Caenorhabditis elegans: one gene and its partners. The protein of the gene in region 1 interacts with the protein of each later gene in a pairwise test. Each region holds a gene or a part of one and is shown on either strand. Other genes may lie near its edges.

Region 1 (6,356 bases):
TGAGTTGCCAAACATAAACTAAAACGAAAATAAAGCAAATAAAGCAAAAAACCATTAGTTATTCAAAATTTTCATTTTAATTCACCAATCCTGCAAAAACATCATCTTTGTTCCATTAAAGTATTTGTACCAACATTTCAAATATCCTACTCATCATTTGCCTTGGTTCAAATTACCAAAACTTTCACGCACTTTTGAACTGTTCTGTTTGTTTTTTTTTTTTCAATTCTGATACATTGTAGTTGCTTTTAGAAAATTAAAATTTGAGTTACAAATGAGATTGTAATATGTCAGCCGCTTCAATACGTACTGACAATGTTTTGTTAGACAAAACTGGGCTGCTTAATTCACCTTAGTCCTCTATTTGTAAAAAAGTTTAACATCAAAAGTCTGATAGTAAGTTAAACGTTGTTTTCTGTAAGTCCGGACCCATCAAATGTCAGCCACACGTTTTTGGTTGAACATCAATTTTTTAGATTTACGAATTTATGGCAATGCAGTTCAAGTTAGCAAAAGCACCATCTTACTATGTCTAATAACATTAACCGTATACTTCTTGCAAGTTTGTCATGTACTTCCTCTTTCCATACGTCTGTCAATCGTCGGCGACAGAGTCCCTCCTCTTCTAGACACCCCCGGATGAGGCTAGATATATAAACATAAAGACTTTTAATAGTTCCTTTCTACCACTTGTGCCATGACGTATCTGGTCCGGATATTAACACTGGTTTCTGCTCACTGTTTCGTATTTTGCCATGTCTATCAGACGTCTACCGGGAAGTTTCATTGGTCATCTCACTCTCTCATTTGATTATTCATATTTGTTGTTGCTATTAGCCGTGAGTTTGTTCTCCGTCTTTTCCAAGAAGTGGCAATTATTGCACTCGCTCAAAGTTTCGTGCTCCCTACTTTTGCAAACCACAATTTGTTTTCAGAAATATGTCTGAGTTGTAGATGTAATAGAATTCATACTGAATTGAGCATCGGAAAAGCAAAATATATTACTCGGTATTCTTAGACAACCGGGAAGAAGAAGCCAGGTTTTGTAGGCAGACGCTCGGCAAAAACAGGAGGTGCTAATTCATTCACGTCTCCATTTTTTTTCGAAAGTTCTCATATTTTGGAGTGTGATTTTTTGAGAATTTATCATAAATCAAAAGGATAATGGCTGTTCATAGCATCTAGCCTGATTCAAAAATTTCGAAATAAATTTTTTAATCATTTGCGAAAAAAACATTTTTCCGACATTAAACATTTAGTTTAAAATTTCAAATTCACATTTAATGATTTACAAATTTCCAAGAAAACAATTCCCGTGAAAATGAACATTTTTGCGCGCGTTCTCACACGTATTAAGTGTCTAATGGTTAGTAATGACTGGCAAAATTGGGATAGAAATTCACGTCATTATTTATGCGATTTGAGCTGGAAGAAAACAATTTTTCTTTGTAGATTTTGAAATTTTTTGAATTTGTGATATTATTTTTTTTTCTTGTAATTTTCTCCCATTTGGTTTGACTTGCAAATATGTAAATTTGGAAAATGCCCTCATTAAAATTTTTTTCTTAAATTCTTAGATTTTCTTTGAGCTCAAGGATAGTATCTTTTAGTTTAAAATGTTCGCTCTGGTACTCTGAATTTTCCAAAAATGCGAACGTGTCTGAGTCCAACAACTCCCAGGTTTCGCGTTGCTCTCAACATCGCCGCGCGGAACACGGTAGTTGTCGGACCGTGTTGCATCATTACTTAGAAATTTTCTGAGCAATTGACTCCGAAAATGGATGTGTTCAAATTTGTGAAAATTGAGCATTCAACACTTTTGTTGGGTTGAGTTTGAAAATTTGAACTTGAACAGACAATTCCCTGTGATCCTTTGTAGCTAAATCTATGTTCTCAGATAACCAACAGTTGGGGGGTAAACCTGCGTGGGTGTGGTTTTATGCTAAATGCGCAGCCGACACCGATGGAAGTCCGCGATTTACAACTTGAGTACCTGTTATATTCGAAAAATAACTTTTCGATGAAGTGTGAAAGTTACTATTAATTTTACGGTGACTAACCTTTTCAAAATCCCGCTGGCATTCAACTTCAAGTTTTATCTTTAAAGCTTATTCACTTTTGACTTTTTGTACACTTCCGATCTTTGAGTTCCACCTTTCGACATCCGCCTACTTTATGTGCATATCGTCAACTCTGAACGACATCGTAACTTCTTCCTCCTATTCCCTGAAACATTTCCACCTGCTCTTCTATTCATAGAATGATGTGGTGGGTGTCAACCTAGGATACTTTGAGCTTTTTTAAAAATTCACTTGATCTATGTGTCTTCCCGACTTCCTTTTCTCTCCGAATTCTTTTCCGAATTCCCCCGAATTTCTTTACTTGGAAAGTAAAAGAGGAAATTAGACGGCAAAAAGAAGATGTGTTTCGTGAACTTTTCACAACACTTCAAGCGTTCTTCTTTGAACTGCCCGTCTCGTCTTGCAACTTTTTTCATTTCATTCTCGTTTTTTTCATCTCATTCACATCTTTAATCATTCATTGAAATCTTAGGGCCGAAAATCCAGTATCGTTTTCATTCTTCTTTTTCGTTGCTCTAGCTCCTCCCCTGCGTCACAACATTTTTCAATTATTCTCAAAGTGTTATTTCTGTTTGTGTGGTTGGAATTCGAACTTTACACTTAAAACTTTTCACCTGCTCTACGTTTTTAGAAACTGTTACAATGTTTTTTCACCAGAATATTTTCAGAACGAATGGAAAGCGACTCCCCACTTAATCATCCTGTGGTACACTTTTTGCTCTGTGTATCCTACCTTTTTGTCTTTCTGGCCACTATAATCGGTATGCCAAGGATCTTTGTTCATATTTTTAATATCTGAAAATATTTTGCAATGATTATATTAAATATTGCAGATATTAATGGTTTTTTTTCGAAGTTTTTCGATGTTCACTTTCAAAATTCATTCTAAACCTAAAGCATGCTCCGGCATACCCAGAGATCATTTTCTGCTTCACACCTTTTCTTCACAATCGAATTGTTTTTTTTTCTAATTTCTTCTAACTCAGACTCGTGAATGCGACAAAATTTCATTTGATTTTCTCATTAGGACGGTTTTCGTAGCTAGGCAAACACACAACCAAGCAAACAATGACATTCATTTTTGATTTGTTATCCAATATCAGATGACAATATATCAGAAGACAGAATCAACAGTAGGCTATAATTAGATTACATTGAAGTGAGCAATAATTGGTGAAACTAAACTGATAATCGACATTTAGGTTCAAATTATATGGTAGAAGTACGTAGTTAATAGTAAGTGGTAGAGGACAAACTATTAGAACTTGAACAATTTATTTTAAAAAAGGAAATTAAGCTATGGGCAAATTTGAACAAAATTACCATCAAGCTATAACATAAATTCTTTCAGGAAATCTTATCATTCTGCTGGTCTTCTTCTCGCAGAAACGAGTCCGAAGTGTGCCCAACTTCTTTCTGGCAAATCTGACGGTAACTCTCCTCCAAAACTCACCTCCTATTCTGAAAATAATCTATTTCTAGGTTGCCGACCTTTTTGTCGGAATCTTCTGCGTTCTCCAGAACGCTGTGAATTTTGTATTCCAAGGACATGGACGGTGGCCGTTTGGCAAAGTGTTATGTTATTCATACATCTACGTACTACACTTCATACCAAATGTGTCGGCTGGAATTCTGGTAGGCAATCATGACGTAGGGAATCTTTGAAAAGCAACATTTTGATATTCAGGTGCTGGTCTCGGTTGAAAGATTGATTGCGGTGCTCCGTCCATTGCGGGTGCGAAGAGCATTTTCACAAAAAGTGCTCATCACATCGTCAGCTGTTGTTTGGCTAAGTAAGCTGACTTAAAAAGAAATGTGGAAATGAAATGTTTTCTTAAATTTCAGCTAGCGCAGTTATGAACACCCCATATGTAGTGGCTAGCCAGTTTTTAGAGATATCAGACGGGAATGAGACATACACAGTAAGTAACTTCACCTACCTGCCTGCATACAGGTTAACCACAGCCGAGTATGAAAAAATTCAGGCTAAAAACTATTATTTAAAAAAAATTCTAAAACCGCTTGGATACAATATGGCTAAATATGCAAACTTTGCCATTGTTTTTTTTCTAAAAGAATTTTCTAAAGATCTTTTGTTAGTTGAAGTATTACCAAATTAGTTCAAGAAGTTCCTTTTCTCGAAATAAAGATTTTTCCAGATCTGCACTAGACGTCATGTGGAAATTTATGGATTCAACCTCCTGAAGCTAGTCGCCACTATCAACTTCATCGTCTGGTGCGTTCGTCAACTCTATATATATTTTGTTTTGACTTTTAAAATTTTTCAGGTACGCCGTCCCTCTAGTAATCCTTCTTTGCATCTACGCTACCATCGGCCTCGTGGTGAGCAAGGCCGCAACAATCACGAAACACTCCGCCAACAAGCTTTTGCCAAGATCAAGCTGGCGATCCGAAGCCTCAACCGGCGGTGTGTCAGTGGAGAAGAGGAGAAAGGTTTGTTTAAAGATTCAGAACATGTGTTCACAGTTTGTTTGTGCCAAGTCGAACCACTTTTTCTCAAACGTTTAGTTCTGAGAGATGACACTTAGCCATATGGTAAAACCAAAAGTTATTGAAATTTGTTGAATTATTCAAAAGTTTGGTATAGGGCAGCATTTGATATTTAGCTTGAAACTTGCTTTTTAAAAAAGTACATGTATAAATCAAAAGACTAGGCACATGTGTTTAAAACCAGTTCAAAAATTGGAACATTTATTAACGGGACAGAAAAAAAAAGGGTCATTCACTGTGAGGAAAGCCTCCAGATTTTCAGAAGTAATATCAAACTACAAACTACAAAATCGACAAAATTTATAAACATACATTTTTCAACAAAAAAGTATTTTGTTGATATATTTCTGACATTCAATTTCACTTCAGGTTGGTCGTTTGGCAGTCGGAATCGTCGTGGCATTCGCGTTCTTCTCACTCCCGAGATATGTATATTTTATGTGGACCGTCTGGCGAGATCCGATGGGTAAGCACGTCGTCCACCTGAACCTCCAAGTTCCAAGATCATAAACATCAAACTTTTCAGCGCCAAGATGTTTGAACTGCCTTCAAAGTGTACTCCAACCCATCAGTTTCCTGCTTCTGTTCTTTAATGCCGCCGTCGACCCATTCCTCTACGCATTCCTTTCAACAAGATTTCGTCAAAGCATCAAAGAAACATTTCATCTTGGAAAGGTAAAGAATGTTCTCCAGCCAAGACATTTTCATTCTATTCGATTCAGCTTTCAGGTGCGTGAAAGCAACATCGAGCAGTCATCACGAGTGCGGCGTAAGGTGTTAAACTCGGAGTTGGAGACGGGTTACGAATATCATAATCACTCATAACAAATGTACATACATGCTTTAAAATTCTAATCCCACTTATTCACACATTCTCACACATATTGCGTTCTGTTTTTGTGATCTCACCCATGATTTTCAAAACTTTATAATGCTATCACCGTTTCTTTCCACAACAGTCTCCTGTCAAATTTGTAACATATACGTAATTATGGATATAGTTTCTGTCAATAATGAATTTGTCAAAAAATCAATTTTTTGGGTTTTCATGCTTAAACAGAGTTTGTAAATTATATTAATCCCAAATTACAAAATTATGCAATCGGATTTCTCAAAAATGTTTTAAAACTTTTTAAGAAAGGTCAAAATTTCAATGATCATTAAATGAACATTGATTTCCGGCCATGTGCCACATACAAACATAAATATTGAAGATTTTAGCTGAATTGAACAGTTTTTTTTTGAAATTTTGAACTGCAATGTAAAATATTTTAAAAACTTTGAAAAGTCTCATTATGAAATTTAGTTGTTTGGGTAAACTTTCGAGGTCTTTGGGCAACTAGAGCTACTTTTATATATTTTCAGCAAGCTTACAATTGACATAATTAAAGAAAATATTGCCCAGTTTGACTATTAAAGATATTTTTGACCCTAAGTAATCAACTTTCAGTATTCATGCAAAAAACCTCTAATCATTTTTTTCTGCTTTTCAGCTCTTTGAAAAATTCAGATGGCAAATTTTAAATAATACAAATGCATATAAAACTTAATTTCAAACATTCACAACAATCAAAATGAGTATCAAATAAGGCTCAAGTATATAATAAAACAAAAACTATACAAACACATCATAAGTCAAAAATCCGTTAGAAGGAACGTCCAGCCGCATAAGTTGGAATTGGGCCCACAGTCTCCGGGTTTTCACTTCTCAACGGAACTTTGATCTTTGCCAAGTTGCAGTCACTACCCGACACGGCGTAGGTA
Region 2 (6,289 bases), on another chromosome or scaffold:
AAATGATTAGACGTCACAAGATATACAGACCCACACTGCAAATCCCAAGAGTTATGACGACAGAAATTGAACAGGAGCGCGCCACATAAAATTGCATATATCTATTAGCAGAAAAATGAATCGGTTATTGATATGGGGAAACACTGAGCAAGAACTACATAGATAGTTAGGCTTAGAGGGTGAAAAAATTTCAGTTGTATGTAATAAGAGGCTTCAAGCATGCGACAGTGCTTTAGTTTACTCGGATATGAAGATTGTGCAAAATTGTCCAAAATTTATTGAAAAGTTTTATTCTGACATCAGGTCATTTAAGCACTTATTTCCCTAGGCATGAGTGTGTGCGAAGAAAATTTATTCAACGGTAACTATCTATAGTTTCAACCATCTTCCGAGTTTGAACTGATCTTTATACCTCCAGAGAAATCAACAATGATCGCACAAAATGAATTTATAAAATAATGTAACATCTCGCTTTGTTTTCGACAATAATCGAGCTCAGTTCTTGAGATCAATGCTAATTGAAGAAAATTAAAGTGATCAGGTTTTTTCTGGAGGATAAAGTTCAGTTTGAATAAACTAAACCATTTTTCTCTTGAAATCTTGCAGTTCTTTTTTATCTCAGTCAGAAATTCTTAACTTACGGTTCCTATTATAAAATTTAAAAAAAAACAGGGTTTAGTGAATAAAAGAAATGTATACATGCACAGGCAAGATGTCGGTGGAGGTAACCTTAACGGTAGAGCACGTGGTGTCAGGCTGTCCGATCACTGTTTACAAAAAATGTTTACAAAAAATCTACAAAAAATGTGGGAATTGTTCGCCCCAAAAAAAATGTGACGTCAGCACGTTCTTAACTATGCGAAATCAGTTGAGAACTCTGCGTCTAAACTCCCGCATTTTTTGTAGATCTACGTAGATCAAGCCTTTTTGGGCCTACTAGGATATTTTAAATGATAGAAAATGAACCGTAATGGCCAAGCACAATTACGATAAATTGTATCGAAGATTTGTCAAAGACGGAAGTATGATGATTCTTTAAACAAAAAATCCTGATATCTTCTGGCATTCAATCAACCACTTTTCGTGTGGAAATTCAAAAAATCAAAATCAGAACAATCAAAAATACAAAAAATGTCATGTTTCTCGGACTTGCAACATCTCTGACGTGACAGAATCCGGAAAAAAATCATCGCTTTTTCTGAAAATTGGAAAAAAAGACCACAAAAGAGAGTCAGAAGCCGATTATCAAGGTCAGAATGCGTCAGGATCTGAAAATAGAGAGTCCAAGACGGTCAATTTCGGCACTGGAGGTAACTCCGGGCTTCTGGGGGCTCAAGGCTTAGTTAGTTCTCTGGTTCAGGACTTGATTCACTAGCTAGGCTTTGGCTTTGGTTTAGGACTAGACTTAGGCTTAGGCTTTGGTTTAGGATTAGACTTAGGCTTAGACTCAGGCTTATGTTTAGGCTATGCTTAGTTTTAGGCTAGTCTTAGGCTAGGCTTAGGCTTAGGCTTAGGGTTATGCTTAGGCTTAGGTTTAGGCTAGGCTCACGCTTAGGCTTATATTTTGGATAGACTTAGGCTTCAGCTTTGGCTTAGGCTAGGCTTACGCTTAGGCTTAGGTTTAGGAATAGGCTAGACTTGGCCTTAAGCATTGGCTTTGGCTTAGGTTCAGGCTGTGGCTTAGGCTAGGCTAAGGCTTACTTTGTTAGGCTTATGTTTAGGATAGGCTTAGGCTTACACGTCTTACACTTAAGTTTAGGAAATAATATAAATTCGCAAGAAAAATGAGAAAAAAGGAAAAATCAAAGTTTCGTGAGGGAAATAACCGCGGAAGTCATTTTAAGTTGCTCGCGCGCGCGCTCTGTTGATTAAGCTCATCAGAGTATGTCCTCGTTACTCGGGTGACTGCTGTCATTGGATAAACAAATTTGTAGTTTTCTCGGAGCTTTCTAGATTTTTTATTTAAAAAAGAAATGTATAATTTATAGGTGTGGGAAAAACGTGAAATTGTGACGAATATACAATAAACCAAGAGGAAATTCAGCGAAAAAAAAACGGGAAGAATTAGAGCTTCAGGAGCATCGGAGCAATAAGGCTGGTGGCCTTGTCCTTTCCCTCAAGCAGCTCCACAATTTTCAGCGCAAATTCGAAGGCAGTTCCGGGTCCACGAGAGGTGATGATTTTGCCACTGACAACAACACGATCCTCCGAGTACTTGTAGCCTGGAAATCACAAGTTTTTCGGGGAGAAATGAAAATTTGGGCATAGCTTCCGCATCCCCAGTGACAAATGTGCTCTATTCCACCGAATTGTTGGTTGGAATACGGTATTTATTGCATGTTTCAGCCGAGAATACCGATATTCATACCATCAATTTGGATAGAAACACATAAGTCATGAAAGTTATAGGATCTCACTAAGTGGCCGCGGAAAATTCGGTGGCCGAGTTTTTTCCAGGCCACGTTGCAAGTGAAAAATTCGCTAGTTTTGCCTAATGTAGATTTTTTTAATGAATAGTTAAGGCTCCCCTATGAAATTGTTCGATTTTTAGCGACTTTTCACCAAAAAAAGTGCAAAACCAGCTGTACCTCCTTTCTCGAGTTTCTCCTTAACACTTGGATGACTTGTCACAAGTTCTGCCTTGACTCCATGGCTCAAGAGTGCAATTGGAGCTGCACAAATTGCTCCAATCAGCCCACCAGACTCTACTTGGCTCTTGAGAACATCGCGGACAAGTAGGCTTTCAGCCAACGTGTTGCTGCCCGGTTGGCCGCCTGGAAGAATCACAATATCGAATTTTTCGGTTTCCACGTCTTCGAGTTTGACGTCTGGCACGATGTGGGCTCCGCGAGCACATTTTACCTGGAAAATGTGAATATTTATGATTTTTGACTGGTTTCGAAAAGAAAAATTATTTGAAATTTCTGAATTTTTCTCAAATTTAAACATATTTTGGGGTTAAAATACCTCAATTATTGATTTTTTTTTTTGGGATTTCGGAATTTTTAATTTTTTAAATTCTAGATTTTTTACAATTTTCTGCTAATTCCCGTACCGGTTCGGCTCCATCTAATCCGGCATAAACCACACGAATTTCACCACGAGCAAGTACATCTCCAGTGATAATGACCTCCATTTCCTCAGCTCCTTCGGCCGCCAATATGATTAAAGCCGATTTTTGAGCCATTTTTCAAAGTTGCTCAGTTGAAAAATTCTGAAAAAGGGAAAAAAACTCAAAAGTAAGTTTTAAAAATTAAAATTTTTTGGTTTTTGACGTTTTTTTTTAAGTTTATGTTTAGGAGATTAGTCAATTTCTTGGTTTTTGACTTCAAATCTGAAAATTTTAAATATAAAAAAGGGGAAACAACTCGAATTTTGAGGAAAAAATACAGAAAAAAAAGGGAAATTTTTTTTTCAACAAAAACAAAAAATATAACAGAAAAATCGCTATAAAATATGAAAAATCTATGAAAAAAAAATCGATTTAACATTATTTATTTCCATATTTTCCCTCCTTGTATGCACTTCGGACAGTGTCGCCGTACGCCAATTCGAACAATGTTTCAGCTGACATTTTCGGTGGTGGCCATCTGGAAAATTTAATTTTTTTTTCAATTTTTTGGGCAAAAAATCTACAAAACTGCTTTTTTTCAGGTAATTTCAAATAAAAAAAATCAGAAATTTTTAGTTTTACCTCTCATCCTCAACAGTATGTAAATCAGCCAATCGTTCGGATCCTTTTTCCAAAACTTTCTTCTCATACGCAACTCGTCGCTTTTCGATTTGAACATCTGTACGGTAGGAGACGTAGGGCCGAAGTCTGAAAACTTGAAACTGAACTTGAAAATTCAAAAAAAAAAGTCAATTTTCATGGGTTTTACCCATATTTCGTGAATTTTTCATTTGAAAATCCCTTAAATCGTACTTGAAACCATCCAAATTCGGTACAACAAGCTCTGATCGCATCTCTTTCACCGGTACAAACTCTCCAGTCTTTTCGTCGTGAAATCCGTCCGCCTGGACTCCGGTGTACCTGGAAAATTAAAATTTTAGAAAATAATCGAGGATGGGCCTGCTACAAACTAGACTACAAACTACAAATACCGATTTAGCAGACCCGAGTGATATTGAAGAAATTTGGTCTGCTAGACTACAAACTACACATTTCGATTTAGCAGACCAATATAAAAATTGCCTGTTTTCAGCTTAAAATTTAGATTTTTGATTCTTTTTTTTTTTGGAATACAATGTTAATTCACTCAAAAATTTGATATTAGATCAATTTTCCCCGAAAGTTCCGATTTTTTCAGGATTTAATATGAAAATACGCACTTTTGTCTTAAAACACAAAAATTGCAAAACACTTGAATTTTTGCTAATTTCTATTTGAAAAAAATTCATTTTCCTACTGAAAAATTGAAAAATTCATCATTTTCTAATTTTTATTGCGAAAATTGAAAACTTTGGGTCTGCTACACTACAAACTACAAGTTGTCGTTTAGCAGACCCATTTTGTTTTGAAGAAATTTGGTCTGCTAGACTACAAACTACAATTTTCGATTTAGCAGACCCAAGTGGTCTGGATGAGAAATTTAAAAGTCTTAAAACGTTTGGGGTTAATATTGAAAAAAATTACAAAATTTCACACCTATGCAACTCTTTTGGATTCAATTTCTGAAATTTCGGAGAAAGTTCTGGAAATTCGCGATTCTGTCCGGGCCATTTGAATTTTTCGTAGTTCATTGGACCGATTTTCCTTTGTCCAAATGCTCCTTTCTTCACAAATGGCCATGGAGCCGGAAAATTGGTTGAATTGAGTGAACGGACTCCACGAGTGCTTACGAGCACCAGTTTCATCTGAAAAATTGGATTTTTTAATTGAAATTTTCGATTGTTTGCTTAAAAATATGGAAATTAAGAAAAAAGTCGATTTTTGAATGGTAATCTGGATTTTTCAAAATTAAAAATGAAAATATCGAGAAAAAATGGATTTTTGGCTGAAATAGCCCTGCCTGCAATACCTGAAAATAGAATTTTAAAAAATATAAGAAGCGGGAAAAAACCAAAAAAAAAAACAGAGAACAAACGTTTTGAAAATCATTAAAAATTGCATTTATATGCAGAAAAAAATACAAGAAAAAATTGGTATGAACACGAAAAACTGAAGAAAAAATACTGAATTTTCCTGGCTAAAACAAAATTTCTGGCCAAAATTTAAAATCTGAAAAGTGTACACAACACAACCTAAATAGCATAAAATTATGTTCAAAAAAAATAATAAAACTGTGATTTTTTGGTCGAAAAATAGCTGAAAAATCGATTCTACAAGGCACTGGTCACATCTCGCTTGAGCACATATTGGAAGTAGGCGGCATTCATTTGTTCCAAAATGATGAAAGTGAGCACGGTATGGGGTCCAAGACGCATGTAATATGGGGTAAAGCCCTTCCAGAGGGCGAAGATTCCTTCGTTTTTGATGACCTGGAAAATTTAAATTTTTGGTTTAAAATTTGGGGATATCCGAGTGAAAACCTACTTTTTAGCAAAAACGGGAAAATTAGATTTTCGAATTTTTACATTTTTTTAAAAGTTAAATTTACCTTTCCCCAAACATCAAAAGCATTCTTATATTCCGGTTTTCCATCAATAACTTTCATTGATTGAATTCTCGTTTTTGCAATATCGACAGGCATCGATGCAATTGTAGTTGCCAATCCACTGATCATTGATGCCAAAAAGTGGCAGAAAATGCCATCTTGAACCTTTCCAGAAGCCAAAAGTGCCTGTTTCGCCTGGGAATATGTGGCAAGTTGGGCGGCATTTACGACCATTGCTCGGAGTACTGTAGGTGTACATCCACGCCAAAGAGTTAGGACACCTTCTTCTTTTGTAATACGGGTAAGGGCATTGACGACTCCTGGAATGAGAAATTTTTATTAAAATTTCAATTTTTGAAATGAAAAATTTGGAATTTCCAACAATTTCCAACAAAATGCGATTTTTAAAACTTGGGTCTGTTAAATCGGAAATCGTAGATTGTAGCTTAGCAGACCAAATCTCTTCAAAATCACATTGGTCTGCTAATTCGAAATTTGTAGTTTGTAGTCTAGCAGACCATATCTCATCAAAATACATTGGTCTGCTAAATCGAAATTTGCAGTTTGTAGTCTAGCAGACCATATCTCATCAAAATACATTGGTCTGCTAAATCGAAATTTGTAGTTTGTAGTCTAGCAGACCAAATCTCTTCAAAACCACTTTGGTCTGCTAAATCGAAATTTGTAGTTTG
Region 3 (5,897 bases), 9.1 Mb from region 1:
TAGATTGGGTATATTTGCTGGCCGACTTCAATGATCTTCAATCTCGATTGAAAACTTGAGAATTCTATTGCTTTCCAGAAACAAAATGTTGTTCGTTTTTTTTTCATTCCTTATAAAAAATCGAAAACCACACAATTTCCTTATAAGATGTTCAGGGAAGTGTGCAGTTTCACCGAAATTCCCACTTTATAACAGCGGTGAGACCAAAGAAGCAAACTCTACCCGGTTCTAAGAATTAATTGACAAGTGTTCTACAAAATTAGAATTTTAAAGAAGATGAGGGCAAACCATTTTAGTGGTTTTGTGGTAACTGAGAAAAACAATGTCCACTATATATGTAGACCGCTTTTACAATTTTATGAGACAGTTGAAAAATTATTGTGAGTTCAAATAATCAAAATTTGAAATTTAGCCAATGAAAATTATATTTGAACTTTTAAAAAACCTTTTTAAACTTCTTTTTTTGTTAAAAAAAATAACCCAATTCTGACGAAAATCTGATCCTACAACATTGCTGCGTCTCAAAAAAAAAACGATGCAAAGTTGGCAAACGTCAAGTTTTTAGTTAAAATTATACTTTTTCTCTGTTTATTTTGAGCCGCCATAAAAATTTCTGAATATGGCTGGGAGGTTTCATTACAACAATTTGTTTATTTCGGCGCATTTAAAGTCTATATAACATATGTAAAAACTCAGTGATGATAATTCTTGTTTTTCTTCGGATTATTTCAGTGATATTTAAAACAATCAAGCTTTCAAAAAAATAGGTATAAAACGTTGAATGCAAAAATTTTGGTATATCTAAGCATCATGTAAGCCAACAAAAGTGGGCGTTGTGACTAGAAAAACAACAAAAATTATCTGAATACTCATCCAAACACATTTTAATGCAAATTACCTTGTGGGCGCTCTCATGTTACTGACTCGGAGCCAAATTTCTCCAAAACTATAAATTCTCGTTTTTCCCAATTTCATGCACACTTGAATTTTGTTTTCCTGTAGACATCGTTCAAAATATTTCCCCGAACTTCTCATTTAAGAAATTGCAGTTCATAAATCTTCAATGGTTGTTTTTATACGTAGGTGAACTTTTGAAATATCGAAAATCGCTGGGCCATTGAAAATAAATGACACGTATTGAAATATCCATGAATTTCCGTTGTCCAACCCCAAACGTCACTTGACAAAGTCCACCAAAGTGCTTGCCTGCTTTAAAATTCTTAATTTTAGTTGACCAATTCAACTAGCATATCTCACTATGTGTGCATAGGCATGCACGTGGACACGTCAAGTTTTTTTTTGGTTGCTCAATCGCACTAATGGCTTTTCCAGAGTTTTTTGGAAGTCGTGGTGCCAATAGAAGTAGAAGAAGATGTCAGCCATTTTCTACTCATCCACTTTCTATTCCTTACCTGGTCGCTTAATTTTGCGAATATTGAGCAAGTTGATATGTTTTTTTCGGTAAAAATGCTTTAAAAACTTAAAATAATTTTTTAAAACATATGAATAGCTTGTGGGACATGATTTTTTATTTATGGTATTCTAATCAGATAATATGTATTTTGTGCGTAAAAAACAGAACAATGGATATTATTCGATGCACCATCCACCCACATGATATCATTTTCCTTCTTATTTCCACCCTATGTGCCACTTTGCACACCTACTTGAAAACTGGAGAACCCATTCTATTTCCCGAGAAATACTTGTTCTATTGGTCATTTTATTTTCCGGCTCACTACTTTCTTGCCGAGTTGTATAAGGTTAAAAACATCAAACCCCATTTGTAGAGCCGCATCGCCGTCATGTTCAACGTCAAACTTCTTCTCGCTTTTTTCTTGTGTGTTTTGGTAGTTGAAACTACCACAAAGGTGGTCAAGGTAAAACATAATTAGTGTTGAAATGAAAGCTAAATTCACAATTTTCAGTTTCACTCAGTTTCCTTCAATCAACCATCCTGGAGAACTTCCCAACGCTCCAGACAGGTTGGTAGATGATTTACTGTTAGTTTTCAGCTGCAGTTTTTACAGAGTCACAATTTTCAGATTCAAGGCTACGGTCCAGTGTCGGCGTTTGCTGAAAGCGGCTCCTCTCGACCACTTTTTTTCGGTTCATGGCGCAAACGCTTCGATGAGGAATAAATTTTATTCATTCGTTTCTCAAGATCTTACGTTTTCCCGTTCGTTTGTCAGTGAAAATAAAAAGTTGTTATGTGTTTTTTGTTTTTTTAAACAAGACTGAACATATTGAATTAATTTATATATAGTTGAAAAGGAAATTACATTTTTGCACACTGCAACTTCCGAACTCGCTGGTCTGCAACGGTGGCTCTTTATTCGAATAGAATAATTCAGAAGGTCATTAAAAATGTCGAGAAACGTGATCTGGTCCAAGTCACTTTTAAAGTTGGTAAAAACACTAATTGGAGGAACTAAACTAAAGAGAAAACTAGGATGTGGTATTTGAAGGAGATCATTTTCCTTTGAAAAAGAGGTCATGCATAACATTTTCATAATAATCAGGTCATACCACCCAATACGTTAAGCCAAAGAACAAATATATGTAGACAAGACTTTTCTAAATTCTGGTGCTTTGAAGAAAAAACTTTCAGGCTGAGAACATTGAAAATGCAACGAAGTTTTTTGTTGATTGTTTGTTTTGTGTTGAACGATTACCCTTGTTAAACCATAGCTAAATTTTTCAACTAGGGACTAGAGTACTTGATTACCCATAGACTGATCGCGTCTGCTCCGCGCGCATTCCAAATTTGTAAAATGTCTTTAAAAAATTCTGTGCGCGCGGATAGAACGCGATCAGAGCGCAAACTTGGCGCGGAAGAAGCTAGAAAACACGTGTCATTGGAGCGTGAACCAGTAATCTAGTCGCGCTTCAGGAGGAGCAATTTGCCGAGTAGTCACGTTGGTCGATTAAATAATAAAAAACTGAACGTTATATATATATTAATATATAAAATTTTTTTCAGGCATTTTTCTGATCTCGCTTCTTTTCAGCTTTGAATTGAGGTTTGTTTGCGGGTTTTGCTTTGTTAAGAATACATTATTAGAAAACGTCAAAAGTTTGGAAAAAAATCCGTCCAAATAGAAAATATATTTTTTTCGGATAATTTTTTAGTTTTTTGAATATTTCTTGAGATTCAAATTTCAAACTCAAATGATTTATATGTGTAAAAATAGTTTACACTTGGGTACATCATTTCTGTAGGAAAAATCTAGAATTTTCGACAAAATTTTTTTTGCATTTTTTTTGACGACCAATCAAAAAAAAACTTTTTTGGACGGATTTTTTTCCAAATTTTTGTCGTTTTCTAATAATTTATTTTAAACAAAGCAAAACCCGCACACAAACCGCAATATATTATCAAAACCTGCCAAAATGATTATTCGTGTATTTTAAGAAAATTTTTTGATAAGAGAAAAAGAAAGACACTATAGTTGGTTATTAGAGCGCTATGAGGCAAACCACTTTTCCATATGTCCGCATATCACTTTATCTTAGTCAAACTCCACACTTCTTTTGTCCCCGCGGAGCAAAACTCACTGCTTTTGTTATCGAATTTTTTTTCTCAACCCGGGAAATTTCGCAATACTTTCTGACCGAAAGGTAAACATATTGGTTGCCCATCATCACGAGTAAGAACAAAATATACGGAACCATCGTTATCGAGAACAAAATAGACTGGTTGTCTACATAAAATACGTTTTAGTCTCGTCATTCGTTTCAATTTCATCGGTTGTGTTCATACGTATTGGCAAAATGACAAAAGCCCCGATCGATTTTGAGGAAGAGTGGTGCAAGGTGAGTAGACAAACTTTTTTTTATCGATCTAATAAAATATTATCAAAAAAAAACAGACGACAAATTGTGAAATTAAAAATATCAATTGATTTTCATATTTCAATATTAAAAAAAAAAAAAGTTTTCATAATTTCCAGATTTCAAATGGAACTTTGGAAATAAAATGGTATTATTTTCCAACAACTCAAAGCTTGAAAATTGACATCGAAAAAATCCAACAAGTGAAAATTCAAAGTCAAGCTAAAAGTTATGTCAAAAACTGGGGATCCGGAGATTTGTGTGCATGGTGGGCATGTGATATGAAACGGTAAACTCAATCAATGCTACTGTTTTTTCACAGTCAAATTTTCAGCAACTTTCGCAGTCACCCAGAAGAGTTTTTCAATGTAAAAATTGACATCGGCGAAACGTTCAAAAAAGGATTCACTGTACATGAACTGGACAATTTCTTGCCTGCAATTCGAAAGTGGCTGAAAGTCCAAAATATTGTTTTTGAGTGAATTTTTTTGTGTTAATGTAAAAAATGTATGAGTTGTGTAATAAAATGTTTTGTCATCCAATATTCCAAAGTTAAATAAAAATTGTTTCAAATCCGACCAAAATGAAATTGAAACTGTCCTACCCAAATTTTTCCTTTTCACAAAAAGGTAAATCGAAAAAAGATATTTATGCATTGTCGTCTTCGTCAATTTTCAAACTTATCAATTTTCGACAGTTTCATTAACCGTCAATTTTCGTTTTATGTAAATGAAACCAATAGAATATAATTACCGATTTAATTGTATGCTTTGTATAAATGTTTAATCAGCTTACCAATTGCCTCAAAACAGTTTTTCCTTTCATTCTTTGTCCTATCTCCGTCGGTGAAAATGTTAAACTATGCGTTTCTAATTCTTTCAATAATGTCTTATTAAAACACTATTTCAAAAAACTGGGAATACGTACGAATCAACCACTTTCCAACCAACTTTATCTGCTCTCTAACCAACTTTATCCATTTTTCAACCAACTTTTGCCAACTTTTACCAATTTTCGCCAACTGTCACGAACTTTGTCCAGATGTTTAGAGCACTGTAGAAGTTTTGCCACTTCTGTGAATGTCACTTAGAAATAGGCAAAAGTTGATAGAGATTTGTTTGATACTTAACCAAGCCATATAAAAAATGAGAATGAGAATGAAACGAGAACGTGGAAATACAAATTAATCTATTATCAAAAAAAAAATTAAAAATCATTACGTGTAAACACTGTGATGGTCAAAACTCACACAAGACAACCAATATTGCGCATTTTAATTATTTGTTAAATAACTGGCAAAAATTGCAAGCAAAAATAACTACTCTAGACAAAAAACCCCCGTTTTTTTTTCAATCCCTCACAATGCTTTATTGTTTGTAATAAAAACTATAATATATCAAAATGTTATATGTCAGAAAATTACCTTGAAGTGTTTTTTCTCAGACTTTCGCAACAAAAATACGTACTAATACAGCGCGCTAACTGTAATGGGACATTGTTACTTTGTAACTTCTACTCAGCACACCGACACCAAATTCAGTACATGGACCACGTATTTTTTCTAGGGTATGAAGTTTTTTCTCTGCAAAACAAAAAAGACAGTTTGTTGCTTTTGGTTTATTAAGTAATCAGATATATTTTCGAAACAACAAAAGTGAAGTTATGAAGTAAATAATCAAATGTGGTTTACCGGCTCAAGCAGTTACCAACTGACTGAGCCATGAGCCATGGAGGATGAGAAAATCCTAGATCATCTGTGATTGTGACTAAATTGTTTGTTTGGTTTTCTGGTCTTTTTTCTTTCCTTTTTTTGGCGAAAAAATTCGTTAAAAAATTTGCCCGTGCGGGAGAGTTGAACTCATCCCCTCCCAACAAAGGAGCTTTTCATCAGTGCAACAAATCCAAATGTTGTTAGTGGCCCGAATCCAAGCCATATACTGACTAGTCTTTTCTGAGTGATAGATGTACTCGGAAAAGGCCTTTTCATATTTGTGGCCATACATTTCGAGAAATTTGTTCAAAACCAGAAATGAGAACTTTGCACCATCGTTTTCCACAGTAGT

What was found.
Region 2: the proteins of npr-21 (region 1) and djr-1.1 interact in a two-hybrid assay, tested with the Caenorhabditis elegans proteins (one large-scale study listed by BioGRID).
Region 3: the proteins of npr-21 (region 1) and C18A11.1 interact in a two-hybrid assay, tested with the Caenorhabditis elegans proteins (one large-scale study listed by BioGRID).

What each region holds. Positions count from the first base shown.
Region 1 is NC_003284.9:17,154,356-17,160,711, reverse strand, and holds npr-21 (G-protein coupled receptors family 1 profile domain-containing protein), read left to right. Parts: upstream 1-2,743; 5' UTR 2,744-2,754; coding exon 2,755-2,842; intron 2,843-3,432; coding exon 3,433-3,512; intron 3,513-3,563; coding exon 3,564-3,716; intron 3,717-3,768; coding exon 3,769-3,874; intron 3,875-3,926; coding exon 3,927-4,003; intron 4,004-4,240; coding exon 4,241-4,317; intron 4,318-4,369; coding exon 4,370-4,535; intron 4,536-4,961; coding exon 4,962-5,058; intron 5,059-5,072; exon of another isoform or gene 5,073-5,118; coding exon 5,119-5,267; intron 5,268-5,321; coding exon 5,322-5,417; 3' UTR 5,418-5,624; downstream 5,625-6,356. Other genes in the region: mdt-1.2 (Mediator of RNA polymerase II transcription subunit 1.2), read right to left, coding at 6,239-6,356.
Region 2 is NC_003280.10:287,507-293,795, reverse strand, and holds djr-1.1 (Glutathione-independent glyoxalase DJR-1.1), read right to left. Parts: upstream 3,215-6,289; 5' UTR 3,188-3,214; coding exon 3,056-3,187; intron 2,863-3,055; coding exon 2,589-2,862; intron 2,223-2,588; coding exon 2,065-2,222; 3' UTR 1,947-2,064; downstream 1-1,946. Other genes in the region: mrpl-41 (Large ribosomal subunit protein mL41), read right to left, coding at 3,491-3,590, 3,695-3,820, 3,926-4,033, 4,649-4,857; misc-1 (Mitochondrial 2-oxoglutarate/malate carrier protein), read right to left, coding at 5,323-5,481, 5,601-5,917.
Region 3 is NC_003284.9:8,065,883-8,071,779, forward strand, and holds C18A11.1 (Activator of Hsp90 ATPase homolog 1-like protein), read left to right. Parts: upstream 1-3,445; 5' UTR 3,446-3,774; coding exon 3,775-3,816; intron 3,817-3,953; coding exon 3,954-4,123; intron 4,124-4,168; coding exon 4,169-4,316; 3' UTR 4,317-4,407; downstream 4,408-5,897. Other genes in the region: nssp-82 (Neuropeptide-Like Protein), read left to right, coding at 1,806-1,880, 1,929-1,985, 2,046-2,141.